Schizosaccharomyces pombe: one gene and its partners. The gene in region 2 interacts genetically with the main gene of each other region. Each region holds a gene or a part of one and is shown on either strand. Other genes may lie near its edges. The genes, in order: xap5, SPOM_SPBC16E9.02C and get2.

Evidence for each region.
Region 1: mutations in SPOM_SPBC16E9.02C (region 2) and xap5 together harm fitness more than expected from each alone (negative genetic interaction), as found in Schizosaccharomyces pombe (one large-scale study listed by BioGRID).
Region 3: mutations in SPOM_SPBC16E9.02C (region 2) and get2 together harm fitness more than expected from each alone (negative genetic interaction), as found in Schizosaccharomyces pombe (one large-scale study listed by BioGRID).

Annotation. Positions count from the first base shown.
Region 1 is NC_003421.2:752,609-758,123, forward strand, and holds xap5 (splicing factor, xap-5-like protein), read left to right. Parts: upstream 1-2,643; 5' UTR 2,644-2,648; coding exon 2,649-2,797; exon of another isoform or gene 2,798-2,860; coding exon 2,861-3,578; 3' UTR 3,579-3,682; downstream 3,683-5,515. Other genes in the region: SPOM_SPCC1020.13C (DDHD family phospholipase), read left to right, coding at 1-72, 117-681, 745-1,485, 1,527-2,023; protein Emc6, read left to right, coding at 4,757-4,816, 4,898-5,153, 5,243-5,253.
Region 2 is NC_003423.3:1,916,907-1,923,612, reverse strand, and holds SPOM_SPBC16E9.02C (CUE domain protein ), read left to right. Parts: upstream 1-3,264; 5' UTR 3,265-3,439; coding exon 3,440-3,538; intron 3,539-3,546; exon of another isoform or gene 3,547-3,624; coding exon 3,625-3,694; exon of another isoform or gene 3,695-3,911; coding exon 3,912-5,452; 3' UTR 5,453-5,607; downstream 5,608-6,706. Other genes in the region: proteasome assembly chaperone Pac3, read right to left, coding at 1,440-1,748, 1,980-2,102; cytochrome oxidase complex assembly protein coa1, read left to right, coding at 2,101-2,850.
Region 3 is NC_003421.2:185,964-191,453, forward strand, and holds get2 (GET complex subunit Get2), read left to right. Parts: upstream 1-3,150; 5' UTR 3,151-3,295; coding exon 3,296-3,820; intron 3,821-3,880; coding exon 3,881-4,129; 3' UTR 4,130-4,438; downstream 4,439-5,490. Other genes in the region: protein Fft2, read right to left, coding at 1-914; vacuolar H+-ATPase assembly protein Vma21, read left to right, coding at 2,137-2,186, 2,360-2,451, 2,505-2,629; kinetochore protein fta7, read left to right, coding at 4,767-4,882, 5,060-5,216, 5,275-5,439.

The DNA of each region.
Region 1 (5,515 bases), on a different chromosome or scaffold from region 2:
AATAACGCTTTAGAAGCAAAATACAATGAAATTATTACAGAGGAGGTGTCTCAAGAGCCAAATCAGAAGAATGTAACTAATTTTTTAATCTATATGTGAGCTTAACTAACGAGCAGGTCATTGTTGGAATTTCTGGGCTTCATGTGGTAAACTTACCTACTCTTACTTTAAAGCCTCTATACTGGCCAAGTGCCAGTAAAAATGATACCTTACGAGTCGTTCGCGGTCTTTGGATGTACGAAGATACGGGTCTTCCTGTAATCAATGAATTGTCGGATATGTTAGAAGAGGGCTACCAGGAAGTGAAGCCATACGCCGTTAACTGGGATAATGTTTTAAAAGAAGAAGAAGAAGGGAAGGATTCTCAAGATGATCCTTCTGTATTGTCTCATAAACGTAACAAGTCCTCTAAGGAATTAATTGATGCGATGCAATGGCCTCTTAAACCTACCTCCTCTGGCAAATATGTATTTTACGAAGACGGATATAGAGCACTCATTTGTCAAGGAGGTTTGTTATCCTATTTTTCAAAAGGGACTCAATCTCGAAGGACCAGTATTAAAGGTATGCCGGTCGTTCGAGATTTTCCTTACTTTGAAGATGATGGTTTTAATGGACCTAAACAAGTTACAGATCTTTTTTTGGTGGTTCATGGTATCGGTCAAAAAAGATCAGAGACTGGTAAGTAAACTTGATTTTTTTTTATCTTACACCGGCATTCAATTACTAATGTTGACAATATAGAGGAACGATTCTTATTTACCAAGACGTGCAACGTTTTTCGTTCATTGATCCAAATTCAGAAAAACATAATGAAAGAGGATCCGTTGATTCGAAACGATTATGAACCACAACTTCTTCCGATATGTTGGAGAAATAAGCTTAATTTTAATTCATATATAAAGCCAGTTGCCGGTGATGAAGGACGGGTTGAGGATGAAGAATTTGAAGAAAATCGATTTTCAATTGAGGATATTGAAATTGATAGCATTCCAGCGGTGCGAAGGTTATTAGGAGATGTGATGAGTGATATTCCCTATTATATGTCTCATCACAAAGAATCCATTATAAAGTCTGTAATTCGTGAAGCTAATAGGGTTTACCATTTGTGGAAGGACTGCAATCCTTACTTTTTAGAAAACAAGGGCCGTATCTTTATAATTGGGCATTCTTTGGGCTCCACAGTTGTTTTTGATATTTTGTCACTTCAACCCACTTTTGTCAAAGAAATTACTATAGACGATGATGAAAGCTGCTTTATATTCGACACAAACGGTTTTTTTTGTTTTGGTGGTCCGGTAGGTTTTTTTTTGCATTTGAATCAACAAAGTATTATTCCTCGTCGTGGAAGAGGCTCATCAAGATACGAAATAAATAAAAACTTTATAAATTCTGATGTTCCAAAGTCATATACTTACGATGGTTATGATCGGTACGGATGTCTCGCAGTCGACTCTTTTTATAACATCTATAATCACCTTGATCGTAAGCGCATCATTAAATTATCGTATTTACTAACAAATTAGCCGTTGCGATGCGATTAAATCCCACAGTGGATCTCTCATTTTCGAAAGGCATCCACCCAACTCGTATACTGTTCACAAGAAAATCTTCAAGTATTTTGAGAATGATCTCACATTCTAATACTGATCCTGTGGAACTTCGAAGTTACAATCAATCTTTGCAGCAAAATAAAAACAATGAGCCCACAGCAGTGGTCCCACTGGAGCCTGAACAGACTGTCGAGTTAGAGACTCGCAATTTTCGCAGAGAAGAAAGGGCCAAGTGGCGCATGCAAGAGTTGAATGAAAACTCTCAGTTGGACTACGTATTTACGAGTGCCCATGGGGTCATTTCAAACAAATATCTTTCTATGCTTTCGGCTCATAGCAGTTACTGGAGTAGTGAGGATCTTGCTTGCTTTTTAGTAGTGGAAACTGGCCGAAACTTTGGTATTGCCAATTCAATTGAGCAATTTCGTGGAAAGCATATGCCACGTATATTCAAAGGGGACAGCTCTTGAAAATTTTCTTTTTATTTTATCTGACAGTATACCAGCGAGCTTCATATTTATTAGCGATGCGAAGTGGACAAATTAAAATGAATTTGATGAACATTGGATAATGATGATTTTTTAGGATCACTTTAATGACTTTATATATTGGCATTCGAAAGATGGTTTTGCATTCAATGACCAGATACGAAAATTTATTAGAGTATTTATAGCAACACTAGTGATTAGCTAGTTTTTTTTTTGTTTTTAATCTATTGCTATTTTTCCAAAGCTTGTTAATACAAACGAGTAATTCGTTTTATTTGTCTCTAGATTGGTTTTAAAAAGTGTCTATACAAGCAGTTAAAGATTACAGAATGCTTCAAAGTGCCCCACCTCGTTGTTATTCTATTTAATAACCGTTTTGACAAATATAAAAAACTTATATGCAACGTGACTTTGGCAAAGTGTGCGTTTATTCTAGGATCCCTCATAGGTAAATGTAAAAAACATGTTCTTCTTCTACGATAAATATAGTAATAGTCATTTCTTTCATTTTGAGATTTGAAAACCGAGGCAAAAAAAGGGTATTTTGGGTATTCAAGCTTATTTGGAAGAACGCTCACCACTCACGTTTTTTTGAATTCTTCATACAATGAGCGGCCATACTGATGCCGATGAAATTCATGAGATTTTACGAAATAGTACGACTGGTTTAGTCCATTTAAAGGATTATCAAAGAGTAAAACAAAACATCGTTGAAAAACGAGAGAAACATGCGCTATCAACCACAAGTACTAAAATGTAAGTGAAAAGAACGAGAAAAGCCCGATAGTATTCTAAATATGACTGACAATTCAATTTTAGAAAAAAGAGAAAAGATGCTTTAAGCAAAAAGGTCAAACAGGGCATTAAAGTTAACAAAGGAAAACTTTCTTTTGGTGAAGATGAAGAACTGGAGAATGATGATCTACCTTTAAAAAAAGTTGAGAAAAAAATGTTTATGGGAAAGGATCCATCTGCGGATACCTCCTTTTTGCCAGATGCAGAGCGAGAAATACGTGAAAACGCGAAGCGAGCCGAATATCGCAAACAATGGCTAAAAGAGCAGGAGCAAATTCGGGAAAAAGAGATTTTGATACCATTTATCTATTACGATGGAACAAGTACCACTTATCATGTAAGGACTAGATTGAAAGATTCGGTTGGACACTTTCTTGCTGATATGAAACAGCAAATCCCATTTTTGAAGAGGATTCTGGATATGGATAAATTTTTACTGGTTCAATCTGATTTAATCATTCCCCATCACCATGAGCTTTACTACTTTTACATTAATAAAGTTCAAGGACGTGATGGACTTTTATTTGACTTTGATAAGCTGTCATGCTCTAGTCCAGAAATGGTTGCAACTACACAACTTCCTTCTCAATGCATTCCTCATCTAGTTCAAAAATCATATTATTTACAAAATCGCCATGTGTTTCCATGTGTGCATTGGGAAGTCTTTGATTCTCGAAAAGATTATTCATTGGAAAAGCATGCAACTGATCCTAACGCTGCATTATTTTACCGGCCCTCATAATGCCTTTTAAAAAGTTTTCGATTTTTTTTCTCTTGGTTCTTTATTTTTGTTTTGCATACTCATACTTCCCTCATCGACTAATTTAATAACAATTTCATTACAACTATATTGTTTTTATGTTTGTATTTTAAACAAATGAATTGCGCCAAACATATAACTTGATAAGCTATACAAAGAGAGAGACTTTGGTAAAAAAGAAACAGATATTATCCACTAAGTATTCGCAATGGGTTTTAGTATTTACACTTACTACTCTCAACATCACTCCAACCTTGACTGAAAACCTTGATTTCATTGATGTGCTATAGGATATTGTAAAATAAAGTAATTAAAAAATTAGCAATTCGCTTTTGGAATTATTAAATGTTTCCTTTATTATTGAATTCTCATATTTCTGCTTGTTTTTATTTAATGTATCGCAGCGTTGGTATGCAAATACATAGTATTTGATCATAAACATATTAACGATACGTTAATTTGCGGTGGATTATACTGTGCTATTTAGGTATACAATTTTTGGTAAAGAAAAAAGTGATCGTGACTGAATGATGAGAATAACTATTCTATTGTAAATAAGAAATGAAATTCGCTTTTCGTTCTCTTGGAAGTATAAGCATGTCGCTTTTACGAATGTTCACGAGTCTCTAATCCTTTCGGTATACTGTAAACAATCTAGTATGTAACGTTTCATCCACCATTTTCAAGTTTTAGAATTAGAAAACCAGTAATACAGGAAATATAAGATGATACTTTTTTCTAAAACAAATAAATATGAAAAATCGACCTTGATGTAAAACGAGAACCTCTTTTAAACAATGCGATTTCCCAATATCCTAGTAATTAGCCCATTTCTGTTCAAAAAAATCAAATGGAAAAAAATAAAGTACTCAATTGTATTGAATAAACTATTTCACCCTCCAAACTAGCCAACATTCAGCCCAAGCAAAAAGTAATGCTTTTTCCCATATCCATATCGCTTGTAGCTTTACATGAAAGATTGGCAATTACGCAGTTTGCAAAATGCTTTTAAGGATACGTCAAGCTGCGAAAAAATTACGTTCCTACTAAGTCCTTATGTAGTTAATACCGCAGTATAAAGATGCGTTATCCATCATTTTTTGGTTATAATTCTACAAGCGGTGAACTCAACTAAACATCAGAATTGTTCATAAGCTAATATGGAAAGGGATAAAGGCGTCGCTCCAATTGTTGTAGAAAATGTTGCATATAATGAACAGGTAAGAAATGATTGCAGAGCTAGATTTTCTTGGTACTAGTTTTTTTAAGGATTTTATAATTGAGTGCTAATGAATCCAAAGGTCGTTTCTTTTGTTCGAAACTTGACTTCTAGTTTTTTCGGGTGCGCAGCTGGTATTTTGGGTTTAACTTCATATGAAGGGCTTGCTCTGTATGTACTCGGTTACTTCTTCGTCTCCTTTCTACTCTTTGCATTGAAAATGCGTGGTAACTTAACTAAGTATTACCAGCCCGGATATAAGTTTTGGATCGCTAAAATATTAGATGGCGCACCTTCTTATGTTTTAACTTGGACATTGTTCTACAGTTTAGTATATGGTAAGAAACTTGCTCGATCGTTGCTATTTTATTTTGTTTGAATAGTCAGATCTCGCATTGAAACAATTACACGCTAACTAAGTCATTAGTTTATGAGTAATGTGTTTAATTTGATTTATGCATTTGGCAATTAATCCAAGATGAACCCTCCTTATTCTTGTTCAGCCCTTTCGTTAATAACACATATACCTCATTAAGATCTATTGTTTGAGAAAAAAGTGGATCTCTTCCTTTTGTTCGTGAACCCATCCTATAAATATTTTGTATTTCCTAATAAAACACAAATCTAACTGTTTTTTTACATTTCTTTACTTTTCCTATAGAAAATAGGATATTTGTTTAAAATATATTTGTCCTGTCAG
Region 2 (6,706 bases):
GGAGGCCTTAAAGCTAAGAAAAAAAACTTGTTAGATTCAATCGAAATGCAGGCTATGAGTGCGCTATCTTACCAAAATATACTAAGCCAAAACAGGAAGGTGTAAAAGGTAAAATGAGCTTTCGTCGTCTATTAATCATTGTCGCTGGTCAATTAACGAATTACAACGAGTTAAAATGGTACGATGAACATGACGCTCGAAAAATGCGACTAAATAAAAACATAAAAAAATTTGGTAGAAATAATTGCATATTTATCCTGTATTTGATAATGTTTCAATTGTTTTAAATTCGCGACGTGATACTTTAGATCTACACTATCAAACTCGTCAAGATCGGCGTTTGTGAGGTGGTTTGTTATTACTTCAACCTTAATGATACCATTATAGTAAATCGCGAGACATCATAATAAAGAGGATTTACAAAGTTGCAAGCAGATGTTCGACAAAATCAATGGTCAAGAGTCCATAATTGCAAAATAAAAAAATAGAATTCACATTTTCCGATTTTCCGCTGTTTTTAGTGTGTGTGACGACTTCTAAGCATATATCACTTCATATTATTATTAAACAAATTTCTTAGCTTATCGAAACTTAGGAAGCAGAGAGTGCCGCTTCATTTTTTTCCACTGTCATTTATGGCGCTAACCGAAATTCCCATGAATTGCTCGATTTATTCCTTTCCTTATGACATTAACCGGTACCATCACTTTCAAGATAACATTACTAGCGAACGCAATTTGAAGCATACGATATAAGAATCATCACCCAATGTATGAAATCATTTCTTATGAACCTTCAGAAACGTTGGAAAGGTATAGTAACGGATAGCTCGGTTGGCGCATGAAATTTAGCTATCAAACTTACGGCATGTAATGGAGTTGAATCGTTCCAATATACGGATTCAAATATTGTGCATAATACAGAGAAGAAAATTTTCTCTAAGATTGCGACGTTAGCACCGCTGTAGAAAGACCTTCCAAATGAATTTGCGTTAATAATTGTATTGCCAGCCAAGATTGTGAGAGATTCATCTGTAATGTCTAGTATTAAACATTACAAAAACTTCACTAACTAGGAAAAAAAAAAGATGTTTTTTTTTTTTCTATAATCAATTTGCTCGTTCGCCAAAGAATGATGATCGCACACTAAGCGCATCGTTTGTTGAGCTCCATACATCTAAGAAAGGAAAGACCTGTATTTGTCTTAAAAAAGGAATTTGTAAAGAGCTATCGAATACAGAAATTGTCGTGGTACCAAAAAAATCGACTTAATGAAACACGCAATGCATAAAAATATTTCGCGCATTCTTTGTTTTTATGAATTTTTGTGGATTCCTTTTCAATTCGTAAAGTTTAGAAAGTTCTCTTCTATATCTGTAGTAAACACAAGAGCATCAAACCAATTGAGACAAACATTACCGATTGTTCACATTCAGACCGTTAAAAACAGATCTCCTTAACCAATTCTAAAATAACAACTGTTAAATCACCATTTTTTTCATTGTCATCAGTCCATGGAACGTGAAGCCCTAAACAGACACGGGGGATTCGAACATCGGGGCGAACGAGCATCTGTTGGCGGGCTAGTAAAGAACCAACCTGGCCTGCTGTAATTTGTGCCCAATGTGATTTAATGTCGTCTTCTCCTCCACCTCCTAGTAGAGTCCTCACACCGATTTCTGGCAAAGTAGACATGTCACCGGTTATTGACACCGGAGACATTACGCTCTTTTCATAAGTCATCATATACTAATTTTAAATTTGTCAGCTCTTTAATAATTATACTGTAAAAAAAAATTGCTTATGAATCATAGATGTCCTCTGACTTTCTCTCCCTGTCCTTCCTATTCCATTACATCGAGGCACCCGACCTTTTGACAAAGTATCAAATTTAAAATAATTATCGTATATTTCCATTTAGTTACGGTAGGATCTTATATCTGATAAATTCATATCTGACTGAATTAGGTTGCTTCTTACCATTTGACCTATTTTTCCAGATATTGTAACCAAAATCGTGATTTGGTTGGAAAATCGCATTGAAATTGCTTGAATTTCTTTCCCGTTATAATTTTTTGATGTCTGCTTTATCTTAGGAAACATGATATCTTCTAAAAGCTTGGATTACACAAGGTTCCTTCCTTTTTTTGCCGCTTTGGTTCGTGGACATTGTCTGACCGTCAAGAGCCCAACCCATAATTGTGGAAGCGGTGTTAAAACGATAATGGATAAATCATCCATTTTTTTAAAAAACAGATATCCAATTTCTATTAATCGTTTTGTTCAGCAAAGAAAAACTTTTTGTGGGGCTAGCGTTTGCCTGCATAAAGTTCTCGTTCAGCGACAATTCGGGTTTGAAGAAAAATCTCATGGGTTGAAGTATAAAAAATTATTTAGGAGGAACATAGGTACATCAGAAAAAAAAAATCGACTTCCCGATTTGCTTGAATTATCTTCCTCACCAAGGAGACTGCCGATCCTTTTTGCTGCTTTTTGTTTACTGTGGGGAACATGTGCTGTATTGGCTATCCAGTACGGAAAGCAAAACTCCAATGTAACTCAAGTAGTTATGTATCGTGTGCAGCATTCAAAAGAAGCTCAAGATCTATTGGGTTCAAACATCGATTTTAAATACCCCTTTCCATGGGTTCCAGGAAAACTTCATAAACGTCAAGGGTTTATTGATATCAATTTCGAGGTTTCAGGATCTCTTGCTTCTGGAACTGTTCACTACCAAAGTCAGCGCTTTGGACCTATAGCCCACTGGGTAGAGTTAGATTGTACTTTGACAAGCAACGGAAAAACAATCAAAATTCCTACGGGTGTATCTAAAGATACTCAATGGACTTAAAATTTTAAATAAGGAACCAACTTTCATGTTTTTATGTTATAATCGCTTTGTTTACGTCCAAACTTTTAAACTAATGATGGCTGTTTTCTTTCCTATTTAATGGATTATCATTTTGATTTACTACTATGTTTACCAGTGTATATTTACACTTCAAAAACCACACCCGTATAATGATTTTCCTTCTTTACTTTCTTCCTTCAATTCCAACATGAGTGTGCTATATAGTACAAGACTGAATATGTATCAATATAGTGATATTATTGGGTATTTTATAAATAGATATCTCTATAATTTATTACCGAGTCATATATAAATACGCAAGGGATTGTAAGAGATAAGACGTATACCCTCAGTAAGAAGCAGTACGCCTCGTTGTTCATTCAAATTCATCACCGCGTCCGTTTCTTATATTTCGAAAGAACCATTCCTTTTTCTTATATCCTTTTAATTAATATACTTGTACATACCCGGTATTCTCTACTTCGAGTCCTTGAGATCATCATTCATTCCTTGCTTGTTGATTTTTTTATTTGCGAGTTTCGCTTTGTTCGTTAGATAATTAAACATTCAAAACGAATGAGATTTCAGTATGGCCTCTGAACAGTCTAATCCAAGACTACCTCGACGACCGCCTTATATGGCTGAGAAAGCGCGTGCGACTCTTAAAGAAGCATTTCCTAATACCGACGTATGTAATTCAGATTAGTCTGCATGTTACCAAAACTCTCTAAGTTTACTTTCATTGCTACATATCTAACATATATTTATCTATAGGATGCAATTATTCGAGCAGTCCTAGCAGCTAGCGGATATAAGTTAGAGCCTGCTTTCAACGCATTGCTTGGTAAGTATTAGGCTACACATATATTTCGTGTCTTTGGGGATGTACTGTGAACGATCTGTAATGTGCTATTCACTTTGTTTTTGAAGCTTTACCTTATTGATTTCATTTGATATCTTAAAGTGTGGCTCATAGTTCGCGTTTGTTTGCTCCCTAAAGAATATCGTGCTTGAAAAGTTTTATGAATGCAATAGTCAACGTTCATTTCTAACCATAATAGGTTTGAGTGATCCTCAAGTTGCTGAAGAAATGGAACAAGCTGAAACTTCTTATGCTTATGACACAGCCGCACATGACGATCCAGTGCAACGACAGCTTGAGGAAGACGAGAGATGTGCCAGAGAGCTTGCTAATCGTTACAACAGCCATCGTCCAGAACGTAGGCGCAAAACAAACAATGATCGTAGGAATTACCCTCCGCAAAACCGTACAGCAAAGCCCAATGACAACGATGGAGATGATTATTCGTTTTTTGAAGACGATCTTCCAGTCATCAAAGATACATTTATGCGTGGATTCCAATCATTTAAGCAAAGAAGTATGGAATGGGTGGAGAATATCGCTTCCAAATTTGATGGTGAGGAAGAAGACGATGATGATGAAAAGTATTCTGCACCTTCTAAAATTTATCCTTCTCCAAGAAGATCTACTGCTGCTACTTTGGAATCCGCATATGAAGAACGACCACCTTCGTTACCACGTCGTAAACCCTCTCGACCAGGAACAGCCATTACGCTTCCCCCATATGAATCTGATCCACACATGCTGAATGAGAAAGATTTTGAGAGACTTCGCTTAGAATCATCTTCATCTCCAATGATGAGGCGATCTTCATTGAACTCCAACCGTCGCTCCGTAGAATCAAGTTCTTCAGCCGCCTTTGTGGAGGGACAATCCTTCATTTTGGATAGCAATGGTGCGATTGAAGTCGCTAATTCTGCTTTTGCTCTCGATGATAGTGATCTTGAATCAGCTTACAATGAAGAGTTAGAGATGAAAAAAGACACAAGTAAGCCTACTGCAAGCACTAAGGAAGTTGTAGTGGAAAAAAAACCCGACGAGTCACGAAAGCAAGCCGCTCGCACGCTTGAGACCGTATCAGAAGAACAAATGGGATCATCCAATGCTAAATCCAAGGTACTAACATCTGAGCCAAAGGACTCTACCTCTGTTGAAGCCGAAAAAACCGAAACTGATGAGCCTGCTGTTGGTAAAGGAGCATCCGATGTGTCTGATACAGCTGAAATTTCTGAGAAAACTGAAGCCAAGAATGCTGATTCGGAAGCCAATTTAGAAGAGAAATCTGACGTTGGGGAAGAAAAGGAGAGTAAGGACGAAAATAACAAAGCTAGTCTTCATAAGGATGTTGAGGAGAAAGATACAAAGATAACAAATGAAGACACTGGTAAAACGGAGACCGATGTCAAAGCCAAGGAGACTGATAGTATAGAGGCCAATGACAAGGATGAAAAGACCGATAGCAAAGAAACTGAGGACAAGGTCGAAGAAACTGAAAGTAAAGAGGCCGATGTCAAGGCTAAGGAGACTGATAGTATAGAGGTCGATGACAAGGAGGAAAAGACCGATAGCAAAGAAACTGCGGACAAAGTCGAACAGACTGACAGTAAGGACACTAACGAGAAGCCTGCGAAGGATGATAATAAAGAGGCAAATGAAAAGGCTGAAAAAGTTGACAGCAAAGATGTTAAGGAAAAGATCGAGGAGGCTGCTGATCTACAAAATTCGGGAAAAGAGACTTAAGGGAAAGAACAACAAGGCACATCATGATAGGTTCAAGAGTTGTAATCAGCTAATGGTACTATATATGCCTTGAGTATTCAGGGTACGAGTAGCTTGAAGATTTAAATTTTGCTATTTTCGGTGTTCCTCAGCTTTACAGTAAATGTTTTAGCGCTGTTTCGATTTTTCTTATAAGTAATGTTTTTTCGAGCTCTTTTGTTTCATATTTTTATAATTGAATTATTAATAATCAATTAAATTTTTCACGACAATCGCAATCCCGTTGATGAATTTGCAAAGTAACTTTAATTTAAGATTGTGCTTGAAGTTTTATCGAAACCATTTGGATAAACTGAGTAGCTAAGTATCCATACATTCACTCCATCCTTGCGTGCATAGCAACCTTTATTCTTTTTACCACTACTGTACATGAGACATATGATGCTTACAAAAAAATGATATTCATTGAGAAGGCACGAAACAACGTGAATTATTAAAACAACGTATTTTAACTACAACAATAACTGAATACAACATAAATCAAACTAAAAAATGATATAAAATATAAAAACTGTACGTAGCATTCGGTCATCACGAGCCATGGCACGAAGCAACGACTTCACGATGGTTTTAAGCTATGCTGTCGGTCTCCCCGACATAATCTATACCGATTCCATGAAGAGGAAAAAGCTGCAACCATTAATACGGTTCTATATTATAACCGCGTTAGAAGAGAGCAGACTTTTTGACATCAGTAATTCATTATTTTGTGAGATGAAGCTTTGTTTTAACTCACTCACATTTCTTATATACTAGGAGTCAAAAAACAGTCACATGTGTTAGTGCACTTTCGTTTCATCTCATTATATCAAAAATATAAACAAATGTTAAATAATCTTCAAAGGACGGTATGACATGAGAAAAGCAGTGAGTCAGAACATTAATTTAACTCCAAAAAAGTAACATGGATAAGCATTACTATGATAGTTGGTGTGCCGAATGATTGTAGTATTACATAGCCAGAGCCCAGAGTTTATTAGGTCGATCGGTTTTAATCAGATGATGTCCACCATACCCGCGTTTTTTAATTGGTTCTGTAACTGAAATGATGGGTATTGAGAATGTATGTCAACAGCGCCTCTAAGCCGACCTGTTCACTAATCCGTTTTTTCCCGAAAATTGAGTCTTTAAAGATATAACGAGGTGTTGCATACCGGGTTAACAGTACAATCATCGAACCACACGGCACTTAGATCAGATATAATTTAATCGTAT
Region 3 (5,490 bases), on a different chromosome or scaffold from region 2:
TCACAACTCAAATATTTTTGAGATAAAATAGAAAGTGCTGCAGTCTCATCCCACTTAGTTTGAGCAAGTGTGTTGATCACCTGGTGAATCGGAGCCTGGGGAACAAATGAGCGTATCCATTGAACAGAACGAATAATAGCATTAGGAGAAGTAGTGGTTACAGGAGGAAGCTCGACAGGTGGAGCGGGAGGTGTAAGCAAGGTATTGTTGACTGGTGGGGTAGTCACGGGATTTGCGGAGGAGGAACGAGATCGCTGAGTAGAGCGTGGAGCAGAACGCGCTGTGGAGCGTGCAGATGAGCGCGAGTTTGAACGAACGTAGCTGGGTAAAACATTATTGACGGGTTGTGCTGGAGGCTGCGCGGGTATTGCCGATGTAGGATTGACAGCACCGATAGGATAGCCGTTATTATAAGGGGAACTATAATGTGCATTATAACCACCCTGAGGTATTGGAACAGTGCCTGGATAACCAGATGGCATACCAGGCATTGCTGCGGGAATTCCAGCATTGGGCAAAGACGCAGTATTGTAAGAGGGCAGGGGGTTATAAGAAGGGACTGGCTGCGATGATTGTCCCACGTATGAATAACCAAAATTGTTGTTGATTGCAGCGGGAGCATCTCTGGAATAAGCATTGGACATTGGAGTCGACGCATACGAAGAAGTTTGCGAATAATCAGTATTCATAAATTGAGTGTTCTCAGAAGTATTATACATTCCACCACCCATGGAATTATTCACCCCGTACATAGCGGAAGACTGTTGGACAGGGGGCGTACCATAGCTTTGAGGATTTCCGTATGAAGAAGGCAAACCTGTTTGCGAAGAACCATAAACTTCCGATTGAGGATTTTCGTCGGAAAACTTTCGTTTCCCGTTGTCCGATAAGTAATTTGAATTGTAAGGAAGCATCTAATTTAAAATCACATTAAGTCTTCTGTATTTATATATCAAATATCAGAAGTAGCACGTTTGGTTCGTGTTTGGGGCGTGCCTGACTCTTACGGGAGTACGCAGAAAAAAAATAATGGACTCTTTAAATCTGGATATGTCTTAAGTTAATTAAAAAAATTTACTGGATTTTAACGGTAATTATCGCAATGCCGTATATACTTTAACCTGTCAGGAATAGTACACTACGCTATGCTACACTACGTTGCGTATCACTATATGTCATATGTTGGAATACTAGCTAAGATCCGTTTATTGATAATCACGGGTAACTATCCGTCTATATACATAGATACCCGTTGATAACAACTATTTAGAAATATTATAAATAGCGTTACAACTGAACCTCGTTCCTCAGTTCAGTTATGAGCTATATTAGTGATAGGTAACATTATAACCCAGTTAATACAATACCTATACTCAGTTGCTACTTATACAACCTGTGTATTGTAATATAATAGACCACAAGGAAAACTCACCGCAGTTCTACGTATCCTTAAATCAGATACCAAACTGCGTAGCTTACATAACCTAGGCTTGATCTTATCGTTATATTAAATGCTTTTTATTACCTCAAAAATCTACTTCAACAGTTTGATTTCAAGCTAAAATGGTAAATTTTAATGCATAAAATATACCCATTGAGTAATCTATTTGCTCTTTTTTTTATACCGCTCGTCCGCTGATGAAAACGTCAACATAGCAATGCTTGTATCAAGTGAAGATGGATGGTGTGAAATCACTTGTTATAACAGAGGAGTAATTGAGTATTGCTTTTTTGATCACCACTGTTTGATACACCCTTGCCTGCTAAACAATTCAATGTGAGTTTGTAAATTGCAGTTTTATTTATGATCATCGACCAAGCCCTAACATACATTTGTTACTCGATTTAATTTAATTAATTTAATATTTCAACAAGGAACTATGAATTTGGAGACTTTGTCGCCCAGGTATTTTATTATATGTAAACACAAATTAAGCAGGTCGCACGTATAAGTCTACCGTATGTTATAAACAAAGATAATAAATTTTAATAAGATGACAAATAATTTCAGGGACTTTCAACATACGAATATCAATTGTCTACTTTTCATGTTGACAAAACTTTGACCTCTTATAAAGCAAGGTCCCAATAAATTAGGTCTCCACCACCATCAACAACTTGCATTCGTGATTTAAAATGGAAAGGAAATCCCAAGTTTCAGATACAAATAATAACTCTATACCTACGTAAGTTTATTAATTATTAGTTTATTTCTTTACGCCGGACTGCGAATTGGTTTTAAGAAATTCCATACAACCTTCCACAACAGTCTATAATCTTAGGTCTCTTATATTGTTTATTCCTTTTATATTCTTAACTAAATATGTTGGAAATGAAAACTTACTAACTTTCGTAATAGTAATGTTCTGCTTAAGTTTGTGGGTTTTAGTGTCGCATTATTTACATTACCACTTATAACTTATTTTTGGACGTTGAAGACTTTATTCAAAGGTATATACTAATTGTTGAATAATTTTGATTTTTACTGATAAATTTTGTTTTAGGATATCAAACATTGTACGCAGGATTATCTGCAGCTGTAATGGTCAATATTATCTTGGCCTTGTATATAGTCGCAGCCTTTCGCGAAGACTCCGGGACTCCCAAGAAGGATATAAAAAGGGAATAATAAATTTTCAGTAACCATTTTACTACTATTTTGAGTTATGACTTTTGCATTTCAATTCTAAATCAAATTTTGAAGCGGATTTTCCTTCTGCCAACGTATTTAGGTGAATCATTCGATGTCTTTATTTTTTTTCGTTAAAAGTATCGCAAAATGAAAGACTTTAGCTGGGACTATCCTATAATCTACTGGATTTTGCATGTATGTCTATTGAATAAGGTGCTACCACAAAGCTGTTGCTGGTGATACTACTCCTTTTTGTATCTGAATTAATGAACGGAAATTTTTTTGTTTAATTTTTCGCTAGTCTGTAATGAAAATATGTGTCTGTTCTTTAGTTTTTTGTAGTTTCCCAAAAAACACGAATTAGCAAAATGCAATTGATATGGCAATTTCAACCAATTTTATAATTAAATTTTCCTTTTTATAATATAAGGCTAACATGTATGATTCTTATCAAACATAACAGCTGTAGGAATTCAGTATTCTTCTAACACTTATGCATCACTATTTTCTCTCACCCCAAACCCCTCGTATATTGGAAAGTTGTTCAAGTGAGCATTATTGATTTTTTCCCAATATAATATTGATAAAAATATATATCTGTAAAAAAGTTTGGTGTTAATTATTTATTTTATTCTGTTTTCTGCTGATTCAAAGACTTCGAACATGTCGACTGCCAGTGAACAAGCTCGACTTAGACGTGAACGTCGACTGAATAAAATCAAACAAGGAGGTGCATCTAGAATCAATCAAATTTTGGGACAGAATTCAGATGACAGTCAATCCGATGTTCGAGCTACAGCTTCCGAGGAAGCTGTACATTCTGAAACTGCAACACCAGTAACGCCAATGTCTTCAGGATTCATGGAAAAGAGAGATGATACCTTCAATGCTGATCAAGTGGAATATCTTCCTTCCCAAGATTACCATAATTTGGAAAGTTCGCCTTTTAAACTTCAGTGTGATTCTCCATATAATGTACCACCTGAAAACATGTTTAATCAAAACCCTGATTTTGCAAATTTTTTTCAAGCTATGTTACAATCCGCAAAGGAGGGATCTGATACAAATTTTCAAGGTGAAAACGAACAAATTCCTCAAGCTACAGCTCCTTTAAAAAACTTAGTTGAGAAATATGCTCATCTTTTGGCAATTTCTATAGTAGTGATTGTTTGTTATTTTAAACATTTGGTAAGTCCTCATCTTCCTTTTTTGAAATTGTTTTTTTGCATACTAATATATTTATTTCAGCCATTACTTCCGTGGACATTTACTGTCGAAGCTTGCTTGTTCTCTATTCAATTTGTTTTGGACCGTAATAATGGACCTTCTTATTCTCTTCTAGCATCTCTGGCCTCTCAGCTTCCCCCTCCCTATGGAGCAATGATCCGTCATACAACAAGTTATGTTCCGTATTTCACACAATTGATTACAGATGCGTGTATGACAATATTTGCGTTAGGTTTATGTTGCTATTTTTATCCGTCGTTGGTGTATTAATAGTTGTTAATTTTCAGCATTTACTATTTATGAATCTTGGTTTTGCTTCGCAAATTGGTGATCGATTAATTAGCATTCAATTTTTGTTTAGATGAAATAAACTAACTGATTAAGCGAGAAAGACTTTTCAAACCCTTAGGAATTCAATTTTATATTATCTTTTCAACATCTAAACGATTTATATTCTAAAACATACTGCACTTCATTTGAACTGCTTTGCAACACATGCCATATTTACGATTGTCGGTACGTTTTATTTATTTTCTCTTTTAATTCAATGGTAGCAATAGTATATGATTTAAAAAGCTCTGTTTATTGTAATTGTAGTATTAATTAAAAACAGACTACTTAAAGTAATTTCTGGGATAGCTGTGAAAACATTATAACTATGATTTTTAAAATCTTTTATCAACTTATTATTGAAATAAAATAAGTAATTGAGAATTGGCTTGGTTGACTGTATATATGTAAAACAACTTCGTCCGAAGCGCTACAACAGCATGCAAACGTTGAAACGGCGAATTCTTGTTATAGAGAAATTTTTCATATAAAACCATACGTACATATTTTGCTATTTAAGTTCCAGATTGCTTAAAAGAAAATTGAAGTGGTAGCACCATTTTTATAAATATATGCAATGGAAATGAAAAGGCGCGTTCGCGCGGTGCGTCGAGACCAAATTCAAAAAAGATGGCGTCCATTAGAGGATAAGCAGCGCCAAGAAATAATAATTATTTTTAGGACGTGTTCAAGGTAAGTAATTGAGAATCATGTTATTGCTAAAAGTGCTTGTGCTTTTTAGCGCTTACTTGTGTACTGAAAGGGAAATCAAAGTTTGCTGTTGATGTTTACCTGGAAAAGTCTTTTAAGTACTTTTCCAAATTTTTTTAGTCATTATGTGTACGTATGCTAACTGTGCTATCGTAACAGATTGGTTTTGAATACAATAAAATCAGAAACAAGAAAATCTTTGGCCGAGGAATGGTTCATGAATATACTTTTAAAAATCGAAGCTCCTCTGAGAAATTTGCCTGTACCAAGGAAAAGAAAAGAGTCAATACTGTTCTCTCAATTACTTTCTTCGAATGTAAGTTATTAAGTCTTGATACGCATACATACGAAAGAGATATGACTAACATTTTTAGATGCAATTGGAACAGCAATTATACAGTGATTTGGACCATATTAACGTACTTCAACAGGAATTGAAGGTTGAAACTGCTCGTTTGGAGAATGAACAGAAATCTTACGAAGAAATGAAACAAAACATGGCCATAAATAATTCACGGCTTGCCGATTTAAAATCTAAAGTAAGTTTAAAACACGAACAGGCGAATGTTTTATTCAAGACTTCATCTTAA